Alligator mississippiensis: one gene and its partners. The protein of the gene in region 2 interacts with the protein of the main gene of each other region in a biochemical or structural test. Links are inferred from orthologs where the notes say so. Each region holds a gene or a part of one and is shown on either strand. Other genes may lie near its edges. The genes, in order: EXOC2, RALA and PLD1.

Region 1 (8,097 bases), on a different chromosome or scaffold from region 2:
GCCAGTGCTACTCACAGCAGGAGGTACAGAGGCAGCTTCCATGCTTCCTGCTGCAAGAAACCCTGCCCTGCTCCCTTTCCTCTCTTTGCCCTGCCCTCTCCTCCCCGCTCTACCTTCCCCACATGCTGCAAGACTGCAGGGCTTCCTGGTCTTTTCTCTGCTCGCTGGTAAGTTTTTTTGTGTGTATCTGTGTATTCTTTTTCCATCAAGCCTGCCAGAATCACAGAGCTCACCTGAAATTGCGGTTTCCATGAAAATTGAATAATCGTTTATATATATATAAAACCAAGAGTCAATAAATGGAGACTGTTGTTGTGCTATAGCTACTAGAACTGCACAAAGCTTCAGTCACTGATTTGATTCGCCGTAGATTCAGCCCAATTCAGCGGCTGAATCTTCAAATCTGAATCAAATCAGGAGACTCTTTAATTTCTCCCTCTGAATTGATTCAGATTTGGAAAGATTCAATGATTTGGACATAGACACAGCTTTAAATGTTTTTTACATACCTCAAGGTACCAGGTGGCTTGTGAATGCTGTGATGCTGGAGCAGATGGAGCGTCCCATGGGAGAACGGGGGGGGGGGGGGGGTCCCCAGCGTGCTTGGCAGTGGATCCGGAAGTGGAATAGAAGTATTTTCAGTCCACTTCCGGGTCACTGGGGAGCATGCGGGTGGCCCTCCCCATGCTCCCTGGCTTGGCGACTGGTGTATCCTGGGTCTGGGGGGCCATTTGGGGTCCCCCCACGGCTGATTGCCGAACCGGGGAGGTGTGTATGTGGGGGGGGGTCCCCTGCGCTCAGCGGAGGACCTAGAAGTGGACGGGAAGTACTTCTGGTCCACTTCTGGGTTCACCATTGAGCATGTGGTTTGCCCCCATGCTCCTGTGGGATGCTCCATCTGCCCCAGCATCGCAGTGTTCACAAACTGTGCCTGGTACCTCGAGGTATGTAGAAAAAACATTTTAAATTGTGTCTATGGCTGAATTGCTGATTCTCTGAATCAGCATTGAATCTTCAGATTCTGAATCAAATTGGGACAGTGATCTGAATCAATGAATTGCATCACTGTCCCCATTTCTGGTCGAATCTGAATCGAATACAGACCGTTTTACATACACCTAATAGCTACTTGCTTCTCTGTTAAGTGCATAAAGTGCTGAAAGGGATGTATTGGGTAGTCGTGTTGGTCTGAGGCAAAAAGAAATGTAGAACTCTTGGTTCAAATATGATACCTTTATTAGACCAACTAAGAAATCACAAAAAAAAAATTACATATGGGGACTTTTTACCATCTTTAATTTCCCTGAGCCTGATGAAGGGTGTGTGAGCCCAAAAGCTTGCAGAAAAAAGATTTTTTTTATTGCGATTGTATTTTTTATTTGGTCTCATAAAAGGTATAATCTCTGAATCAAGAATCCTACAGTTTTGCATTTCTTTAAAGTGCTGAAATGCATAGCATTTTTCAGCCCCCGTGTCTGCTTTGTAACAGAATTGTATTCTGGTTATAGTGACTGCACTCTAACTGCAACTGTAACTGAGTATACTCTAGGTGAAGCAGAAACTCTGACTGGAATGCAATAAGGAGAAAATGACAGGACTTAGTCAGCTTCATGACTGCATGCCTGCATTTTCAAGGTTTCTAATAGCAGCCCAGACAGTAATTACTAGAAACCGTGAAAATGAGTGCAGCTAGTTAGTTTCAGGACTGCTAAAACCACAGGACCAACTGTGCTTTGCACTTGATGAACACTGAGTAATGCTGACCTTGAGTTTGGATAAGTGCATACCTTTTTTAGCAGTCCCAAGGACATGGACTTAAAAGGTACACCAATTTTAGGCCTGGTTTAATGATAGTGTAACTGTAAGTGTTTACCTCTACCCACCCCTTCTTTTTTTGTTTTTTGTTTTTTTTCCAGTTTTCATCCTACATTGGTATTTGTAACCAAATGCCAGAGAGCCCTGCAAAAATAAAGAAAACACAACAAGCTTTCTGCTCCTTTCTATTGTTAGGCCTTTCAAGAAGGCATTAAAAGCTGGGCCGGGGGGGCGGATATTCCGTTGGAAAACTTTTGGCCCTCTGAAAATGCTGATTTGATGGAATCAAAACCTTCTGCTAGGGACTCTGCCAGCCTGCCTGGTTTCCTGTCTGTCCAGGTTCTCCCTGGCATTGCTACCTCCCTAGACTATCACTTCCTTGGAGAGTCAGGCAGCATGGAAGGAAGCTGTTTGGGGAAACAACTGATTAAACAACTGGTTAAGTGGAGAATAGTCGGGAAGAAGCTGATTTAAAATTCCATTTCCATTCTCCCAAATGGTATCACAGATTTTTTTCAATTTTTCTTGGACAAACTCTTTTTATTAACTTTGTGTCCCTATTTGAATTATTTGAAAAGTTTCCCCCAGCCTCCAGCAATTCATTTTTCATATGGAGGGAAATATAATTATGTGGCCAATTTACACTTGGCTAATAGCCAGAACCAAACTATAGGGCTAGAGACAGACATTATATATAAGCCGGTTTAAATGATCAGATACTGGTTTAATCCTGTAATGGAACTATGTATGTTCAGTGCACATAAACCAGTTTGAAAATGGCTGAAACTGGTTTAAGATAAGTCTGATACTATATTCAACCAGGTTTAACTGATTTGGGTCAAACTGGTTTATGCAATGTCTGTCCCAGACCCCTTCCTGGTTTAACTTAAATGAGAGTCCCCCAGCATCCCAGATCCCCTTAGGTGCAGCCTTAGGTGGGGCTGTCTACTGGAGCAGAGCAGGGTTGGTCCCACCCCTCTCCTTCCTAGCCAGAGCTATCAGTGCTCCGGCTGGCTGAGGGACTGCAGCGGCTGCCAGGCTTCCCCCTGTCTGCCCTCCTCCTCAGCTGCTCAAGCAGGGATCCCCCTTCCCACCCCTCTCCCATGGCACGGACCCCAGTGCAGGGACATGCTATCTGGCCATGCTTCCCTATGCTAGCTAATGCTGAGGTGTCTGTTTGGGTCTCTAATTTCACTGGAACAAAGGGCAGACAGCTAGTGGCTTGCAAATGCAAATGCACCCTGTAAATAAAAAGAGCTTGAAACTAATGAGAGAGATTTTTTTCTTTTATAGGTCTTGATGGGCTGATAAACTTTGTTCTGACAAACAACCTACTGGCTGCAATCTGTCAGTCTTCAAGAGGGGACAGAGAAAGGTGTTATAAATGACCTGGTTTGCAGACAGGCTGAGGAAGCAGGGAGACGGAGATTGAAAATCTCACTATCAACAGATGCAGGGTCTGGCAACATTCCTACCCCTTGAACAGGCAGCAGGAAAAGCCTGGGACGGTGCAGGCAGGGCTGGGGTTTACACCCCTCCCTACTCAGAGCATCTTGTCCAGGCCTGGCCATGCCCCACCTCAGCTTAGTACTGTGGAGGGGAAGGGAGAGCTGCTCTAGCATCCCCTGGCTTCTAGCATGAGCCACTGCAAGCATGTGCCTGCATTTCTTCAGTTCAGAGGGAATGTCTGTACATTTGCAAACTGATTCAATCTAGGCAGGCTAGACTAGAGGCCCTGATCCTGAGCATACATGCACTCAAGTGCATGAAGTTAAGTCAGCCCTGCACCAGGTGCTCATGGCTGCTAAGTCTGGAGTGGATTGCTACATCCCAGGTCAAGGGTGGATCTGGGGCAGAGGGAGGAGGCTGCAGTGCTGCAAGTTGCAGCTCCTTTGATTCTTGTTCCACTCAAAATTTTGAAACAACTTCCAGGCAGTGGCAGCAGCATTTTTAGTCAGGCAGAGCTGAAGGAGTCACTCGACTTCATGGCCCATTACAGCCTATCTAAATGCTTAATTTTCCAGGTGTTAACAACCCTCTCTCCCTTTTTTAATGGTTTTGATGTTCCACCAGTCAAGCTAGCCTTTGTTCTACAAAACTGCTGTCTGGCAGCTTCTCTTAGTAACCTAGCTTCTCTTCCACAGCCCTGTGGACAGTTCTCAACCCCAGCTAAAAGCATTCACTGGGGTGTGGCGACATTAAATGACTGAACATTATTACCCAGGTGCAGAAGACACCATCAGTGAAGTGTTGGCTACAGGGTCCAGATGCTCAGGATGGCCATATTTTGTTGTAGGCGTCTGACATAAGAGATGCCCAATTAATTCTAATGGCTACAGGACTAATGAAACAACAACTTGTAATAACAACTATAATAATCATTATATTTATAATAACAAATATAACATTATAATTAAAATATATAATAAAATAATAAAATTAATAATTAATATATATAATTAAAATATCTACCATAAAATAAAATCATAAAAATACAATCATAAAAATAAAAAATAAAATAAAAAATCATTAAAAAGCATAAAATCAAAACTATATCATAAAAATAAAATCATAAATATATATAAAATATATCAAAACCATATCATAAAATATATATCATAAATACATTTATTATACACAGTAATACAATATAATTTGATATATAATCTTGTAATGATAAAATAGTATTTACTATACATAAATTGTATACAATTATATAATCTTGTGATTACAATATAGTATTCATTATACACCCTAAATATAAGAATATTAAAATGAGTATAATAATAGTATGTTACTATTTTTATTATCGTTATTATCATGTATTATTAGTGTCATTCAGTGTTTGTCATTATCTGATTCATCATTTATTAGTTACGATTCTCTTTTATCATCATTATGATTTTTGCGTGTTATTGGTTTTATGATGTATTATTGGTCATAATTACGATTATTCACCGTTTACTATAATGCAATAGGAGGATTACTGTTATTTTCGCCCAGTACACTGTGTTCCGCGTCACGCGTGATCGCACAGGACGGAGCCGCCCACGTGACGCGAGGCCCAGCGTCTCGAGCCAGCCCCTCCCCCCACCGCACCAGCCCTGAGGGGATTCCCCGCTCCAACCACGCCCCTCCCCTTGTGGCGCATGCGCAGGGAGTGGCCCGCGGCTCCACTGCTCGGGGTTACGCGCTGGGCTGGGCGATCGACGCGCTCGGCGGCGGACTGGGCAGGCCTGGCGCTGCCGGACGCGGGGGCGCGGCCGGGAAGCTCAGCTGTCTCAGGTGCCGGATACTAACGCGGCGTCTGGTGAGTGACGCCCCCGCCCTTCCCCCACCCGTTCGGTCCAGACCTTCCTTGCCCCCCGCCCCTCGGGCTGCCGGACGGAGCGACCGAACGACACCCCCCGCGAGACTTGGTGCCTTCTTTCATCCCTGTGGCACCTGCCCCCTTCCCCCCCTTGGATCTGGTGGTTTGACCCGCGCGGGTGTGTTTTGTACGGGTGGAGGAAGCTCCATTAGCTGGGAGGGGGTGCTGGCTCGTGCCACCGGCAGGTGCCAGTCCTGTGTGGGAAGGGGGTGTTGATGCAAAAAGGGTTCCAACGTGTTCTGGGGGGAGGGGGGAACGAGCCAATGGTGGGGGGGGGGATTGGAAGGAGACAATAGGGTGGTGGTGCAGGGGTTTCTCTGTCCCTTCTGCTGCCTGCTCAGAGGTGGGGCTTGCCTCTGGTCCTGGTTGGTGGCCAAGCTCTGGCAGCCCTGAATAGAGCCCTCTCCTCTTCCTTCTTGCTGTGGCGGTGGCTGCACTTCCTATAGACAGTCTGGGGGCTTGATTTGGCGACCCTGCTGGTGCCGGTGCCCTGTGGTGGCACCTTGCCTAGCTTCCGCAGCATCCACTGGCTGGGGAGCCCCAAGCTGGAGCTCAGCTTCTAGCCTGCAGGGCCTTGGCATCCGGCCCTTGTGGGCCGGGAAGATTTTGGCAGCAAGGGAGCTGTGGTCGTGGCTGCCTTTCTCTGCTGCCAGATTATCAAAGCCCGAGTTCTGCAGTGGGTGGGAGCCAGGCTGTACCCCCTTCTCTGCGTGTCTGGGTTGGGGCTGAGCCGGGCCTTCTTGGAATCATAAAAAATTGGGGTTGGAAGAGACCTCATGAGGTCATCTGGTCCAACCCCCTGCTCAGAGTAGGACGAGCCCCAACCAAGGCTTTGTTGAGCTGTGCCTTAAAAACCTGCAAGGATGGAGATTCCACCACCTCTCTAAATAACCTGTTCCAGTGCTTCACCACATTCCTAGTGAGTTTTTCCTGATCTCTAACCTGCATTTCCCTTGCTGCAACTTGAGACCCTTGCTCCTTGTTCTGTCATCTGCCACCACTGGGAACAGTCTAGCTGTTTCTCCACCCAAGTGGCTGGGTTGGGCCAACATCAAGCTTTGCCCCCTCGTGCTGGGCTAGGACCCTTTTCCCATCCCCTGCAGGACCAGGTCAATCCCTGTTTCCCCCCATGAGGCTACATCATGCCCCTTTCCTCCCCTCTCATGGTGCTGGGACCATGTCAAACTCCCTTCCCTCCCTCTGGGCTAGATCAAACCCCTTCTCCAAGGGGCTGGTTCAAGCCCCTTTCCCCTCCTCTCCTCCCCCCCTGCCCATGGTTGGGTTGGGACCATGTCAAGCTGCCTCTCCCTCATGGGGCCAGGTTGGGATTGGGCTACCCCCACGCACTCCAGGCAGTTTCTACACCCATCCCAGGTGCCAGATCAGGACCATTAGCCAGATTTGGCCTGTGGGCAGACCTGGCACTGGCCATCTGGCTTGCCAGGCTAAAAGGTGGAGCATCACTGTTCTAGACAACAGGGGTCTGTGAGCTGGATTGTTGGACTGTCATCCCTTTGGTACCTACCTACCCCATTGTTAAAGAACCGGGGCCTGTCTTGGAGAGCTGAGTGGTTTGTTTGGGGAGAGAAGGGGAGAAGCTGCTGCTATAAAACAGCATCTTTAGGATTTCTTCTCTTTTTCACTGGGAGTTTTGTCCCACACGATGTTGCCCCTTTTCAGATCTCGATTCCCCACTTGCAGTGCTAGCCTTTCATCACATGTGCTGTTCCTTATGGCCACAGTTGTGTCAGGTTGGACTACCCATTTTCAGATTTCAGCAATCTTAATTGAATAAATGCTAGAAAATCCTCATTTGTGTACTGGCCTTCTCCTGTAAGGTACCAGGCACCTTCGTGCTCCCTCTCACCAACTGCGATCTTCTTTGAAGCTGTAAATAGCCACATTTTCAAATATGATAAAACCATATCCTACTGCAGTGTGGAACTTCCTGGCTTGTAAACATTCAGTGTCTGTTTTGTTTTTAAAGCAATCCCTGTGTATTTACTGCTGTAAACTTCCTGTCAGGGACTGTTTTGCTAAAGTAGGCTAGACAAAAATAGTAGTAGCACTGTCTATTCTCCACCAAGATTGCTTGTTGGGTTACATTATTTGACTGTTGCGTTAATTAGCATATCTTGTTTTTTCTAGTGATGATGGAGTTTTCAGATCTAAGTCCCAGGCTATTTAAAAGTTCACTAAGGAGAACTCCATGGTGGTGAACGTGATTTGCTGGTGCTACGAGCTTTTGTAAAATTTTTGCCTGCAAACATTTTTGCTTGCAAAGTTTATAAGTCTGTAGTAAATGACTCCTAAAACAAATAATCTAAACCAAGAAACTCCTCTACTTCAGTTGAGGGTAAATGAATTAAATAATGTTGGGATAATGATGTCAAGCTTTGTTTGCTGCAGCGTTCTCTTAAAAAGTTAGGGTTTTTTTCTAAAAATTAAGAAGAGTTCTTGTCAGATTTCTGTATCTATAAAACTGTATTGTAATTAACTCTAGGCTCCCGTACACACTCTGCTGGGATATCAGAAACATTACTATGAAATTTTTCATCAGGCTAAAGCACTTTCCTTTTTTGGTATGTGGAGACCTACATGAAATAGTGAATTGAAGGGCTTATCTTTGGCTATCTGTACCACTATATACCACCTCTTCTGACCACCAGTTCACTCCATTTTTTTTAGGATGGGAAAAAAATGCCATTAGATCCTTTTAAAACAAAAACAATAAGTTTTTGGCCTGGGAAAATCATCCTGTTCCTTGCTTTACACTTTCTCTGTCTGAAGAAGAAACACAGAAGGTTGACACAGTCCCCTGTGGTTGTGGTATCTATTACAGCCTGCACTGACCCAGCAAGAAGTGGTGAAAGAACTTGACCCACAGACTGAGAGTCATAGGCATGCCCTGA
Region 2 (7,582 bases):
ATTCTTTCTTGCACTATGTGATATCGGAACAGTGGTTTGCACAGCATGACACTTCTTAGCTCTGGCCACTGATAGTCCTTCACAGCAATAAGGAATATTTGGGGTTCCATGGGATTTCAAGTTTTATAGTTGACAGATATAGTGAAACTAGAGCAGTCACTGTAGGCAACAATAATAATTAATTTTCAGGTTCTTCCAGTACTAGGAAGCACTATGTAGCTGCAAACTAGAGGGTGAACAATAGCTCAATGCCATACTTACAGTGAGAACATGGTGGATTAAACAGCCATACTACATACATAGATTCATAGATTGCAAGGCTGGAAGGAACCTTACAAGATCATCAGGTCCAGCCCCCTGCACCAAGCAGGAAAGACAACTGGGGTCAAGTGACCCCAGCAACGTGACTGTCCAGTCTCCTCTTGAAGATTTCCAGGGTAGGCGATTGCAACACTGCTGGAGGGAACTTATTCCACAGCCTGGGCACCTTAGCTGTGAAGAGTTTTTCCTAATGTTGAGCCTGAAATGGCCTTCCAGGAGTTTGTGACCATTGCTCCTGGTTTGCCTCAAGGGTCCCCCGGTGAACAGCTGTTCACTGAGCCCTTGATGTACGCCCCTGATGTAGCGGTAAGCTGGTACCAAGTCCCCTTTCAGCTTTCTCTTTTTCAGGCTAAAGAGTCCCAGGTCCCTCAGCCTTTCCTCGTATGGCTTGCCGTGCAAGTCTCTGATCATACGGGTGGCCCTTCTTTGGACTCTCTCAAGTTTTTCCATGCCCTTGTTGAAGTGTTGCACCCAGAACTGGATGCAGTACTCCACCTGTGGTCTCACCAATGCCAAGTAGAGCGGAAGAATCACTTCCTTGGTTTTGCTGGCGATGCATGAACACCAGAGTATTATTTGCCCTGCTGGCTACAGTGTCGCACTGCCAGCTCATGTTCATACTATGGTCAATTATTATCCCTAGGTCTCTTTTATACGTAGTGCTGATGTTCAAAGATGTTGAATAACCTCCACAGAGCTGAACATTGTACAGATGTTCAAAGATCGGCAGCTCTCACCCCTAGCTCCTTACTCTTGCCATGCCAGTATCTGTGCCAACATAAAAAGCAGCTAATGTGTGAATTTCTTATCATGCTGAGACATGCAACATATTTTACATCTGTTTATCATCTTTGAGAGATTTGGACAGATCTAGCTCTGGGCTATCAGATTTGTCTTACTCTGTTTTATGGGGTCAAAGCTAGGTCAGTTTATGTGAACATGTCCATAAGATCGAGCATTTTATTAAAATGAATTGATTTGGAGTGTTCCCATGTTATGATATCAAGCCATGCTGTTTCTGGGGCTCTATGAGAGATGCAAAAATTAGCTCATAACAAAAATTGAGGCCAAATAAGCTGAATCCCAGAGAGAAATTGATCAAGCACTGGCTGAATGCCTAGGATTCCATGTCTTAGAGAAAACTGAGCACAAAGAACAATATTGAATTATAATAAAGTGTGCTCATTGTACAGCTACAGAGACAACAACTGCTGCTTTAACTAACAAGACTCAGTTTTCAAGATGATCAGTGGAGTAGGTCAAAAACTGAAAATTTCAAAATTAGACCATTTTAACCAGTTCCATAGCTGGTCATTTTTTTTTTTTCAAAATGTTAACAATATTTTCTCACCTTATTTTCTTTGAAAATGTGAAAATACTCAACCAGCTCTAATTGCTGAAGATGTTCTGAGTGGGGCATACTGCTAAACTGTATCATGGTTTGATTAATCAAAAATCTATATCTTATAGTTAGTTTAATAATTTAACTGGGTTGTGTTTTATATCATGGGGTTAAATCTTGAAGTGCTTACTGAGTTCATCCACAAAACTCCCATTTAAGTTTATGAGTGTAAGAAATGGTTACTAAAGAACAAGAAACACACTTGCTCTTTTTAAATGTGTTTCCCCTGCTGCTTCTTGCTACTTGAACAATACCTAAGATCCTCCTTATCTCCATTAAAAATACTTGTTTTTAAATTAATTGCTACCAAAACATGTCTTTGTTATCCAGCAACACATGCCCCACTCCCCACCACCATTTTTCCAAGTCACTAGCCTCCAGCACGTGTGGAGGCTATTCAAGCACAATCTTGTTACCAACTTCCCCAAAAAAGATGGCCCAGGTTGTGATTACAAAATAGGTCTCTTCAAATATTCTTCCTTTTCCAAACAATGGTTTACAAGCAAGCATGGTGCTGTATCTGAGTCTTGACTAACTTCCTAGCCTGAAAAGCATGTGTTGATCGTAAAAATATTTTGGACTAATCAACAGAATTAGGGACATAACTTAAAATTCACTAATATTCACTCTAAAAATAATTTAATTTAACTTTTCCTATGCAGCATAGAAAGAAATCAAGAAAAGTACTAATTTTTGTGCGGGCCAGGAGTGATCCGGGGCCCTTTTTTCGCGCTGTGGGCTGTGGCCAGCAGCCCAGACACGCTGGGTTGGAGAAAGCAGGCGACACGCTAGAACTAGGCACAGACGCTTAGTGGTTGAGTCAAGATTGTTTACTTACACCGTAGATGGTCGCGGTGTAGGCTGGAAAGTTTCCCAGGTAAAGCTCCGCTTAAATCCCCGTTTGAGGACTCGGACAAAACTCTCGCTCTCACGGAGTTGTCGAGGCTCCGTGGATCCTTGTTTGTGCGCAGGGAAGAGGGATACGTCGAGGATTGCACTCGGTGACGGGGAGAAGAATCGATAGGTGATCAGTCTATCGATCAGCAGCCGCAGGTCAAATCTCCGTAGAGGCACTCTGCAGCGTGCTCAAAGTTCTCCGACTTGGGCGGAAACCACCCAAGCCTCTTGTATGGCTAGCAAGCCAATCGCTAGCCGCCACGTGGGAATAATTTAAAAACAACCAATAATGGGGCTCGATTTAAATACAAATGGCGGGAACTCCTTGCAACGTGCATTTTTATGCTGCAAAGAAGAAATGCACCCTGCAAAGAAAGCTTCAAACGGCGGGAAAATAATTCAGTGGTGCCAAAGCACACACAAAAACAAAAATCACACCTTTGGGTTGTGACAATTTTCACATCGAATCTAGCATCCAGCATCATATGTATGAAAAATGTACAAATCACACTTACATAGCCACAGTTAAGAACAGAAACTTTTAGTGGAAGAACCAAAAAAAGGAGAGGTTACACATCCTGAAATCTGTTCAGATCTTGCTAATGCAGTATCTCCCTTGTTCTCCCTTTTTGTTCAATTTGTCCACTGTATTATTTACATAAAGAATGCAAGGCCTGTTAAAGATCAGGCCATTGTGAACTATCTTGCTGCTGTTTAATGACATGTTGACTTCTGGCACACCTCCAGGAAACACTTGATTCACTATAGTTTTAGGAGCTTGGAAAGCATGCCTCTTCCCCTTTTCTCTTTTTTTCCTCTTCATGTGATACTCTCTTGCATTTTTACTATTTACCTAACTTATCAAGGAGCTTACCTAATCTATTTTGGATTTTCCAAAATGCCAGTCATTGCTCCTTACAACCCAGTGGGCACTGCCTTAAATAAAATCATCAAGTCACAGAATCAGATAGAAGTGGGGCTGGAAGGGACCTTCAGAGGTGATCTAGTCCAGTAGTTCCCAATCTGTGGTACAGATACCACCAATGGTATGCAGACAATCTGTCAGTGGTATGCATTAACAGATATATTACAATTACTTTATGCCAAACATTTGCTGGTGGTACTTAAGGTTGAACTGAAAAATTTGCTGGCGGTACATACGGTTGTGTCATTTCAAATTGGTGGTGCGCAATCTGTCAGAGTTTGGGAACCGCTGACCCCTGCCTGAGGCAGGATCACCCCTATCTAAACCAGTCTACACAATCCATAATCTAAACTCAACCCTGACACAACACAGATCAAACACTCTAACCTGCCACAGGTCAAGCAGGGGAACCAATGCCCTGCTTCTATGAAATGTTGTCAATGTATGCTTAAGAGATCCCAGGCAGAGGGTCATGTCCCCCACTACAGAGGAAAGCAACCTCCCCCCCCGCCCAGTCTGTACCAGTCTGATCATTGGGTCAAATTCCTTCCTGACCGCAGCTTTAAAGGGGTTTTTCCTTCTTCCTCTTTTCCCCAGTCCTTCTGACCATGACCATTTCCCAGTAACCATGACATTGCCTTTTAAATGCTTATGTATGTATATCTATATATTAGTGGTATTTCACTTTAATCACAGAAAAATGTGGCTTTTGAGTTACCTCTTTTAGCTGAAAATTGGGGATATTTTGTTTTTTAATCAAAGAAAAGCAGGATCCATCCCACTCCCCCAGCAGGCACCGTTAGGTTCCAGGGTTAACCCGAGGGCGGAGACCGCCCACGCCCAGCCCGCCCCACCCACACACGCCCCGCCCCCTGCGCCTGGCCCCGCCCCTGTGTCACAGCCCCACCTTCCCCTCCCCTTCCTTAGCCCCGCCGCCTCCCTGAGCCTACTGTGCGCGCACCCCCGCCGCCAACACCCCTCCTCCCCGCCCCCGGAAGCAGCTGCGCCTCTTGGCCCCGCCCCGTGCCCCACGCCCCGGAAGCAGTGTGTGGCGGCTGCGGCTGCGGCTGGCCCCGGCTCCTGCCGCCAAGCGGGCGCGTCTCGGCGGGCGGCGCTGCGGGTGCGGCGCGGGGCAGGTGAGGCGGGGCGGTGTACCCTGTCCGTCCCCGGGGGTGGGTGTGTGTGTGGGGCCGGGGCCGGGGCCTCCTGCCCCGCTGCTCCGTGTGTGAAGCGCCGCCCCGTGGCAGCGCGGCAGGGAAGCGGGCTTGAAGGAGCCGCCGCCCGCTGCAGCCCCAGCACAAGCCGCGGGTTGCAGCTTCGCTGCCCGGCGGGGCGGGGCGTTGCACTCCTAAGCCTTTGCCTTTAGCGCCGCGTTTCTCGCTGCAAAGGTTAGTAGAAGGGATCTGGGAGTCTTTGCAGCCCCAGGCTGAGGAGTCTGGGCTGGAGGACACTTGCTGGTCGTAGCGCCACACAGGGTTTGAATTACACTTGGGGTCTGCCAGAAAAATTGGGGCTGCTCATCGCCATGCCCTAAGAAAATCAGAGTCCCCCCGGTCATGATTTTCAAATCTTATGGGTGTGGGGAGGGTTCTCGTCTCTTCTGGGGGGGCTCAGCCCTCCAAGACTCCCCCATAATTTGAATCCTGATGGTGTTTGAACGATGGAGTGTTGCTTCATCAGGTGGATTCAGAACTGACTTGGCTGATTTGACCTGGAATGAAAAATTATTTTCTGGACAAAAATAAAATGTCTAAGTAGATGCTTCCTAAGGTGAGAATAGTTGTTCCAGAAGAGCAATGGAGAGTGATATCTAGTAATGGAAAACGGCTAGAGGGTTGGGCCAGGCAGTCGTGCTCTGTCGGGGCGGAGGTGTCGGAAACGTCCAGCTTTGTATGCAGAAGTCTCCAGCTGCCAACGCCTGTGTAGCTTCTCTTGCTTGGTTTCCACAGCAACATATCACACCTAGGATGAAGTCAGGCCTTGGGGGGTTAAGCAAGACTGAGCTGTGAGAAGGGGTTTATTTGTAAAAGCAAATTGCTTACCTTCTGGGGGAACCTGGTGCTTGGATTTCCTCCTTACCAGCTCAATTCAGCAGGTATAGTTGGGTGTATAAAGGAAAAGTCTCTCTCCAGACCCATTTAATGGTAGGTAAATCGGACCACTCAGCCTGTTCTGGTTAATATAATAGGATAAGGAAGTATTGAGTGACTTTTGCACATTAAATGTCAATTCCCTTTCTAGTCTACTCCTGTGACAACTCTTGTCAAGCATAACTGCCCCTAAAGTCCTTTCAGGTGGTGAAAATAGTATACTAAACTAGAGCCCCTGCTCTGTTCTCTCTTCCTTGCTTTTTATAGAGGTAGTTAGCTGTGGTAGGAATGAATAGTGATGCCCTTGCTTTCCTCCCCTCTTAAACCCTCTCTCTCTCTCTCTCTCTCTCTCTCTCTCTCTCTCTCTCTCTCTCTCTCTCTCTCTCTCTCTCTCTTCCCCCCCCCCCCCAAATACAACCAAACAAAAAAAACCCTTTTGCATTGGAAATGAGCTGTGAACCATTGTCTTGCAGTGGAACACTGAATTATTCCTCCGCTATTTATGCTTATCTCTGATTTTGAGTTACTTTGGGTTCTGCTCGGGGCTGGGAAAATTTAATGTTCAGGGTAAACAAGCACATGCCTTAAGAATGAGACATGTCATAACAAACTCCAGCTGTCATGGAGGAGCCCCCCAGTTAATCTGTTCTAATTCAAGAACCAATTTTGGTTGGAGTTTTTTTTTGTGCTGCTGTCATAAGGGATCGTTTATACTAACCACAAATAGTTTCATGAGTTGATGCAAGGGTGGAGTTCTCAGCATGACTACAAGATGTGCTTGTGCAGTGATCTCATGCTTGCCTCTGTGCATAAACTCTTTCTGGGAACAATACATAGAAGTAGATGCCTTGTAAAGTGAGATTAATTGTGCCAAAAGAGCAATAGAAGATGATATCTACTAATGGAAAGCAAGTAGTTAAGGGATGCTGACTAATAAGCTGGAATAGTTTACATCCTGTTTCAGTTGTCTGTTTAGATTCACTGTTGTAAAAACTATTATCTGCGCGTGCATGCAAACATCTTGCTTTTCTTTTTAAATCTTTGTGAGTCTGTTAGGATCCCCCTGAATAATCATAACTGAAATGCTCCTGAAATGGGTCAATTTATGTTAGGGGAAAAAAAAAAAGAAAGAAAAAAGAGGAGGAAGGAAGAAATAAAAAGGCTCCCTTGTTCCATGAACATGCGTAAAACCATCTTCATCGCATTCAATTTCATATACACGAGCTCATTAGAATTTAATGTCAGGCAAAAGGCCTTATTATTTGGGAGGTGACACATGGCAGATTGCTAATTCAAGGATTAGCCTGTATTGTGCTGTCAGTGTATTACTATTGTTGCTTTAAAAGATCTTTAAGCAGCAGGGTTGCTGGATATGATTAAGAACTATTTATTTAGAGATGTCAAGCAGGAACTGAAGGAGGAAAAAATATATAGGATTTAGTTATCTTTGTAAATTTGTTAGTACTTGCTACCCTGTAGTGTAGACACAGGCCCTCCCCCTCTGAATCTCAGTCCCACCCACTCAGTCTGACCTCAGTGGCTCCTGCACCGTAGACCCTTCCTAGCCCCTAACCTCCTCTAGTTCTGACACACCCTAGCTTCCCCCTTCCCCCACCCAGGAAATGGTCCTGCTGCTTATAAGCAGCTGCTAATGTATATTGTCTATAGAGCTCTAGCAGCCAGTTAACTGGTCCTATTCATGCGTGTATGTTTGACAGACTTCAAGTAAAAATGCAGTGGTGTTGATTATTTTGCTTCTAAACTATATTTAATCATACCTCTTGATATCTGCTAGCAACAGCCCTCTACCTAAGATGTTTTTGTTTGCTCAACACGATGTGGGCATAATTTGCACTACTAATACTACCTGAGTTTATATTCCACGTGACAGGACATTACCAAGAACTAAGAAAACAATGCAACTTTGTTAATTATTTTAGAAAAACA
Region 3 (7,906 bases), on a different chromosome or scaffold from region 2:
GGCCTTAAAAACCATGTGAAACGATCAAGTTATCTTTCTTTCTCAAATATACAAGTGTGAGGCCTGCTGATGAGGCATTTGTCAATAGAAAATCTAGAAAAGAAGAAAACAAATTGCTCAGCCACAGCCAAGGAACTTACTGATATTTATACTTTGCATTTACAGAATGCAGCAACTTGGATCCCTATTGTCAGGACCTCAAACAGCTTTACATGAACTAAACGAAGTTCACGCTTTGTGACTTAGGTGAGTGTTAATATACTTCTTTCACAGATATGGAAAAGCATGTAGACCTTAAGGATCTGCCAAACATCACAGAATATCAGGAGCACAACTTCTGATCTCTGCCCTATTCTCTAGCTTTAGCCAACACTACTTTTTCATAATACCTCAAGATATGATGAAGGAGAGCTGCCAAGTATTCATTTGTTGGGTTATATCTGAAATAGGGGATGTTATGGTAAAGGTAACAAACCTCTAGTGGGTGCAGGCACCACTTTTTGGCTCTTAAGAGGAGGGACTGGGAATTGTGAGCCTAGAATATTCTGCTGCTTGATTGGGCTGTCAGCAATGCCAAAATATTCATTGGAAAAATGTTACCTGTTGTTGCTGATCCTGCAGTAATCATACTGTCTGCCAGAATAAACTTAACTTAGTACGGGAAGAAGACAAATACACATTAACTGAGCTAAGGCTCATGAGCTGGAAAGGATTTGTTGCAACACTCTTGGAGACGTATCATTTTTTAATTTAACTCTTAGATAAAGGAAGAAGCAAGTAGGCTGTGGTGCTGGATGGTACAGAATTCTGGAACAGAGCGAACCTTAAATCTTTGTTTTTCACTGGTCCTTGCACAGGAGAACAAAGTGTAAAGGGGGTGAATGAACTGTGAGGCAGGAGTGCCCACACATCATGCTGTCCTTCTGGGGCTGGCAACATGGGCAGTACTTTGAAAAGGGGGGTGCAGATGGTGAGGTGCATCATCACATACAGAACAACACACATTTTTCTCCAATTAAAAATAAACTAGGAGCGTCATTAATATACTAGGGGCCAAGGGCTGTATTATGCAGTTTAAGATTGAAGCAAAAAATAAATATAACTTCATTGGAATGAGTTAAAAACAAGCTTCAGGGCTGTGAAATAGGAGCTGCATTCCCAGGAACAGCTAACAGACCCCAGAATTGCAGAACGAAGGATCTCCTCAAGAGCATTAAAAAGAAGAGAGGGTCACTGACACCTGTGGGGTGCAGAGTTTAGAAGGGATCAGGTAGGTTATAATGAGCCATGAGATGTTCTGGTTGCTTGCCGCAGCTTTTATTTCTAAGGGCATCACTGCTCTGATCAGCCACATGAGACCAAGTCAGCGTTCTGGCCGAGTGGAGCAGTGATTCCCTTTTGAAGTAAAAGCCACAGCAAGCAAAGCTCTTCCTTAATTTGGTAACCCACTGCCACCCCTAAATGAAAAATCCAGGATCCACTGTATAATTTAGCTTCCCTCCCCCAACCGGCACCCTACCTCTACCTTATGATGGAGATGGGAGGTGGCATTCTGAATAGTCGTAATTCTCTTCTGTAGGGTTCTGCCACGTGTCTAGAGGTTTGTCCCTCTTCTTGATAGGAGTATCTATGCCTTTGAGCTCCTATCTGCATATGAGTCAAGAATCAGATTTGCTGAACCTCTTTAAATCACAGCGTTCAGTGGATATGGGCTACCTCAGTGTAAAACCACTTGGGCTGAAAAATGTGAATGGAAACAAGCCCAGTTAGGAGATCCAGTACGGGCTTTTAAACTTGATTCTAGACTATAATCCCCATACACATGGGCTAGACCAGTGGCTCTCAGCCTTTTCAGAGATTTTGCCCTCCTCCACTTCTTTAGATGTGGCCACACTTCCAGTAAGACTGCCTGCATGCCTGTGCACAGCCAGCCCAGGAAGGGCTGTGGCATGTGCCCATGTTCCCACTGCATTATGTTTCTCTGATAACCCTGACACAGACAGAGCTAGCTCAGGCTCTAGCCCAGTGGTCTCCAACCTTTTAAGTAGATCACCCATTGGCCATGTGTAGGGGGTGCATGTGGGTGCGCGTGCACCCCTGGAGCGTGGCAGTGTCCCCCCTGTAAAAAGGCACCACTGACATTGTCAGCGCCTGCGGGTGGTCCGCAATTGCTGCTGGCCGACACTGCCGGTGGTGTCTGCGGGTGGTCGTCGACTAATAGCGCTCGCTGTGCCCCCGCCCCCCTGCCCAGCTGCTGACAGTGCTACGGCTGCCTGCGGCAGCTCCCCACTTACCTTCACCACGTTCCTGCTGCTGGCAGTGTTGTCGCCGCCTGCGGGAGCTCACTGTGCCTCCCAGCCTCCGGGGCCACACGTCGTTCATGAGATAAATGTAAGGTACTCCACCTGGGAAGGAGGAACCCCCAGCACACCTATAGGGTGGGGAGTGTCCTTCTCAGCAGCTGGGAGGCAGAGAGGGATCTTGGAGTCATAATTGACTCCAAGATGAACATGAGCCGGCAGTGTAACAGGGCCATCGACAAGGCCAATCGCACCTTGTTGTGCATTAGCAGGTGCATGACTAATAGAACAAAGGAGGTGATGCTCCCCCTCTATGCGGCACTGGTCAGGCCGCAGTTGGAGTACTGTGTCCAGTTTTGGGTGCCGCACTTCGAGAGGGACACGGAGAATCTGGAGAGGGTCGAGAGGAGGGCCACTCGCATGATTAGTGGCCTTTGTGATAGACCCTACGGGGGGAGATCAAGAGAGCTGAATCTCTTCAGCCTTCACAAGAGACGGCTGAGGGGAGATCTTGTGGCCACCTATAAATTTATTAGGGGAGGTCAGCGGGGAATAGGGGAAGCGCTGTTTACTAAGGCACCCCAGGGAGTGACTAGGAGTAATGGGTGTAAACTAGTTGAGAGTGGATTTAGGTTAGGTATTAGGAAGAAATTTTTCACAGTAAGGGTGGCCAGGATCTGGAATGGGCTTCCAAGAGCAGTGGTGCTGTCACCTAGCTTGGAGGTCTTCAAGAGGAGGCTAGATAGTCACCTGGCTGGGGTCATCTGACCTCGGCCCTCTTTCCTGCCAGGGGCCGGGGGCTGGACACGATGATCCATTGTGGTCCCTTCTGACTCTACAATCTATGAATCTATGAATCACCTTTGACATTTAAAAGCAAGCCAAGATCTACTGTGCACCATTATCAACCCCTCCCCCCCCCCCCAACGCCCATAGCAGGTAAATCTGTGGGGAGGGAAGGGGGGTGCAGATCGAGGCAGAGGGAGAAAAAATGATTTGGTGGCACACCTCCCCAGCAGGTAAGTCCCACCCGGCCGGGGCCCCATTCAACTTACCCCTGCTTTTGCCTCTGTGGCACTGTCCGTCACTGGGGGCCACGATCTAGCCCCCGCCCCTTCACTCCCCCAGGGACTGACCTGCTGGTCTGGGGCACGCAGGCACTCAGCCCCCGACCCTAGCCTCGGATCGACTCCAAGAGGCTCCGACTTCTACTGGTGGATCGAGATCCACTGGTTGGTGACCACTGCTCTAGCCCTTCCTGGTCTGCCTCCCCCTTGCTCCTCCTGGAAATAGGCAGGGCTGAACTGTGGGAAGGAGCATGAGGGGGGCCGGACCAGGAGGGGCTACAGCCCAATCCAGCTTTGTCTGCTGTATCAGAGAGGCCTAATATTACTTGGCCGCCTAAATTGTAGCACCCCAAAGGGGGTCCTTGTGGCACCCTAGATATGAACCACTGAGCAAGTTAAAAAATGTTTAAAGCATGTTAGATAAGACTTGCTTTAAACCAGTTCAGCTAATGTAGTTTGAGTCCTGCTGAGCTTATGTTGGCAATTAAAACATTGCTTAAAGGCCAGGCCCTACTGTAATCTCATTTACTCTAGTGAAGTAAGTGGCGTTTTGCTAAATTTACATCGGTAGACCAGAAACAGAATTTGCCCTCTGGTTGGTAGTGATTAAGGTTGGCTTTTTATCTACTTTGTAATTCAGTTCAAGAAGTGTCTTGTCCTAAAACTCAGAACCCCTCTCTATGCTGAAATCTTGAGAGAGGCAGTCTTGAAGACTGAATTGTAGTATCCACTATCTTAGGTTTATTTTTACATGGAAAAAATTCAGACCCTTACCTTTTTGTCAGTGGAGCTGCAGTGCTGGATACTGCATTACTATAATTAGGCTTCAGGCATTTTTACCAAGATGTCAGTTCAGAACGGCCATAAGCATTAATACTTGCTGTCGCTTTCTCTCTCTGTCTCGCAAAAGAATTTGCTGCTCTCCGTATTAAAAAGGGCTTTGGTAATATGCATTAGAAATTTAAAAAAAGATAGCATTAGGAGACCCAAAGACCCTAAATTTGACCATAATTATTAGCTTGTCTTATGCTAAGAATAATATCAAATGTATTTAATTCACAGTTCAGTTGCAGCGACTTTCTCTCTATTCCTTCATCCAAATATAATTCTTTCTGGACTGTAGCAGAAGGAAAATTGTCTTCTTTTTAAAATATGTGTAGCTTTTATATGAGAAGAGTATAGAAGGAGGGAAAGGTCACTCTGTAAGGCCCAAATTCTGCTCCAGTACGTTCAGTAAATCAGTGTGAATACGTATATTTATACTGGTGTAAAGTTGGAATAACTAAGAGCAGAATGTGTCTCTAATGTTTGTTATACTGTAACAAGTCGGATACTGTACAAAATAAAGATGTAGCAGGAATCATTAGCTCAGTCCGTGCCTGTGAGGTTTTTTCCCGCCGCATCCTGCCCTTCCTCCCGCCCCCCTTTGTGTGTTTCTTAATATTCAGTTTAACATATGGGAGTGGTTTTCACTTCATTAGTGATTCTTATAGGCTGAAGTGCCTTGTGGGTTGGGTCTCACTTCATCTTGCCTTTAGGGAGCCAGCCTGAATACTTGAACTGAAGCACTTAGGAAGACACAGCTTTTGTCTGTGCAGATTTCCTCTGTGGTTATTTTTTTCATAGTAACACAGTCCTGGATAATCACTTCATAGGAGAGGAGATTTTTCATTTAAACGGCACCATGAGGCACCTACGTGCACAGGGGCATAAGGTTAGTAAAGAAAGACTGGAAGTTTTTCACTTCTTGCCATACGTCATTTTGTTTCGCTGTGTTTTTCAAGCTAACATGGAGCAGCTGATTAAAAAAAACTGTTTAAGATCATTGTGTTCTGTCTGTTTGGGGAGAGGCAGTTAATTTTAAGCCCTTTTCAGAAGAGAAAAAAAAAGGGAACTTAAGCATCTGGCATTGCTTTTCAAATGAATGTGTTGCTTGAACGTTGTATTTTTTGGCTGTTTGGAGGCTGGATGCCAAGTTCATTGCTCTTACAAAGGTACTACATTTACTTGTAAGCCTCACAGCCCATTCTCAAAATTACTTTGTAGTCTTTAGGTATCCAGGTTGTAGCCGTATTGGCCTAGAGGAAAAAGCAATCAGGGCTCATAGTAGAGACAATATCTTTTCTTAGACCACAAGATTTTTGCAAAAAAAAAAAAAAATTCTTTAATTGCAAGCTTTGGTCACATTTGTCTTGTTCCTGAAAGCTTACAATTAAAGATTTTTTATTTTTTTTTGCAAAAATCGTGTTGGTCTAATAAAAGATACCATCTCTACTACAGGCCCTGATTGTTTTCTAATCTTTAACACTTCAAATACCTTGCCGAGCACACCGAAAAGAAATGGCTACTTAGCATTTTGGATGTCTGAAAATTTGTAAACTCTTGGTAGTTTCTCACTAGTCTGTTGTGAATGTCAGTAGCTTCTGTCTGTTTTCTGTGCGCTGAAGGATGTGCGCGCTGCATGTTGGCTGGCATACTTTACAACCAGGAGCAGTGAAAGAGTCAGGGGAGCCTTCTTTCTTTTGACAACTGCCACCTCGGAGCATTCAGTCACTTGGGAATTCTCCGCGTGCCTTTGAAGAACCGGTTCTGCTGGAGGAAGCACAGAAGGATTGCTCAGAATGAGAGGTTTCTTTACCTGGTTGTACTGCTTTCCTTTTGCTCGCTGTGAGCTTAAAGCACTCTCTTCTCAAAATTGAAGTCTGAGCTTTGAAGGCATTGAATGCTAAATTATGAGGCATAAATACTGGTCAAATTCAGGCCTGATACAAGCGAATTCATTTCCACTGAGTTTAAGGGAGTTGCACCTTTTTCTCTGCAGGCTGATTTTTTTTTCCGGCTTACTGTATATGACAAGCATACATGTATTATGCATTAGCATCTACATAGTGTTTTAACTGTGCCTGTACAATCCCGCTGAAGCAATAAGGGTGAAATGCCTACAACGGTGGGGAGAGTTATGTCCTTTCTATGGCACTATAATCTGGTAAAACAGATAGCCCTGCCCCCTCCCTATTAAGCTAACCCAGATGTTAGTTTTGAGGAATACAAATAACAGTGGAGCCTATTAGCATAAACCAAATCCATTTGCCAGTGATATTTATTTTTAATGAGCTACTTGTATAAGAGGGAAAGCACTTATTCTCCAAGGTTTGGAAACTTGATGGGATGAGATTTTCACAGCTCCCTAAGGAAGTTAGGCATCCAACCTCCATGAAGTTTGTCTTCCCAGCAAAGCTAACCCTGGTAATTAGTGCAGAGGTCTGAACACCCAAGTTAGCCAAGGCCACCTGCAAGCATTCCCCCAGCCAAGTCCTTCCTGCACAGCTGAGTTTTCCTATTTCCGTACTGGTCTGTGTGTATCTGGGGACAAATCCCAGTGTTCGCTGCTCTAGGCATCCTTCCCCCTATCAGTTGCTTCACGTGTCTGTTCTTTGGGGTGCTTGTGGGAAAGGGTATAAAGGGTATTGGTGGACTGTTAGCACTTAAATGATTTTGTTTGTATTATTGTAGCAAAATAGATAGCTTCCAGCTCATGCTAAAGCAGAAACTTCTCTAACCCACACCTCTTCTTGGAAAGGCAAGCTCAGACTCAAAACAGTTTCCAGATTTGGATCACAGGTTTTCTAATGTGGACAGATAGGGGGTTAGAAGAAAAACCCTGTAAGAGGCTTAACTGTGTAGTGAGGACATACCCTAAGAGTCCAAGATAGATATACAATTCACCAGAAAAGACTTGATTCCAAACCTGCTGAATCTAGCAATAGCTAGACATTAATATAAACCTAAGGAAGAACAGCATTTTTTTTTAAATGGGGTAGGGCTCTTTAAGTTCTTCTCATGCCATTTAAAAATTAGGTGTTATTCCTTTAAGAATCTGATATCTGATTTAAACAAGATCCATATTTTAAAAGCCCGTGTTTCAGGACCATTGGAAATCTGTAATATGTCTCTGCTAATGTTGCTAGAAAAAATGTAGGTAAATTGAGTTTTACTGTGCCAGAAGCTCCAGAAATGAGCTTCTCCCATTTAAGTTACCACCTGTGCTGTAAGAAGTTGAGTTAAATCTGTTGCATCCTTAGAGATGGAGCCAGCAATTTGTTGTGATCACAATTCTGATCTTTTAGGATCTGCTAAGAATGTTTCTGTCTATAAAATACTGTTGTAGCAACTCTGCGTTACTCATTTCTCATGAAACGATTCATTCTTTCGTGTAGCAGAATAGATCATATGACAAAACTGTAAAATGTTGCTAGCTCTCAGTTAAAAAAAATCAAAGGAACATATACGTCACTGATTTTATGAAGGTTTTGATTCTTTGAGTGTGTTCACATTATGGAAAATAACCCAGTGTATCACAGTGGCTTTGCTTTCCCCAACCAGTGTTTTTATACATAATTTCACAGGCAAACTGTGCAACCAGGTACAGTTTTGTATCTTCCTTGTTGTAAGCTGAAGACACATTTTTTTTCTTCCTACAGATGTTGGTCTGATTGCTGGTTGGCGTGAATTTAGTTAGCAGTCTTGGTAGAAACTTGG

What was found.
Region 1: the proteins of RALA (region 2) and EXOC2 are reported together in a solved structure, tested with the Homo sapiens proteins (2 studies listed by BioGRID, with this or other methods). The link is inferred for Alligator mississippiensis from reciprocal best matches to the Homo sapiens genes RALA and EXOC2.
Region 3: the proteins of RALA (region 2) and PLD1 form a complex in vitro, tested with the Homo sapiens proteins (2 studies listed by BioGRID). The link is inferred for Alligator mississippiensis from reciprocal best matches to the Homo sapiens genes RALA and PLD1.

Annotation. Positions count from the first base shown.
Region 1 is NC_081826.1:120,569,323-120,577,419, forward strand, and holds the start of EXOC2 (exocyst complex component 2), read left to right. Parts: upstream 1-5,018; 5' UTR 5,019-5,125; intron 5,126-5,185; exon of another isoform or gene 5,186-5,303; intron 5,304-8,048; exon of another isoform or gene 8,049-8,097. UniProt on the Homo sapiens protein: Component of the exocyst complex involved in the docking of exocytic vesicles with fusion sites on the plasma membrane.
Region 2 is NC_081828.1:124,834,933-124,842,514, reverse strand, and holds the start of RALA (ras-related protein Ral-A), read left to right. Parts: upstream 1-4,579; 5' UTR 4,580-4,681; intron 4,682-7,582. UniProt on the Homo sapiens protein: Multifunctional GTPase involved in a variety of cellular processes including gene expression, cell migration, cell proliferation, oncogenic transformation and membrane trafficking.
Region 3 is NC_081830.1:75,709,855-75,717,760, reverse strand, and holds the start of PLD1 (phospholipase D1), read left to right. Parts: upstream 1-4,902; 5' UTR 4,903-5,081; intron 5,082-7,906. UniProt on the Homo sapiens protein: Function as phospholipase selective for phosphatidylcholine. Implicated as a critical step in numerous cellular pathways, including signal transduction, membrane trafficking, and the regulation of mitosis.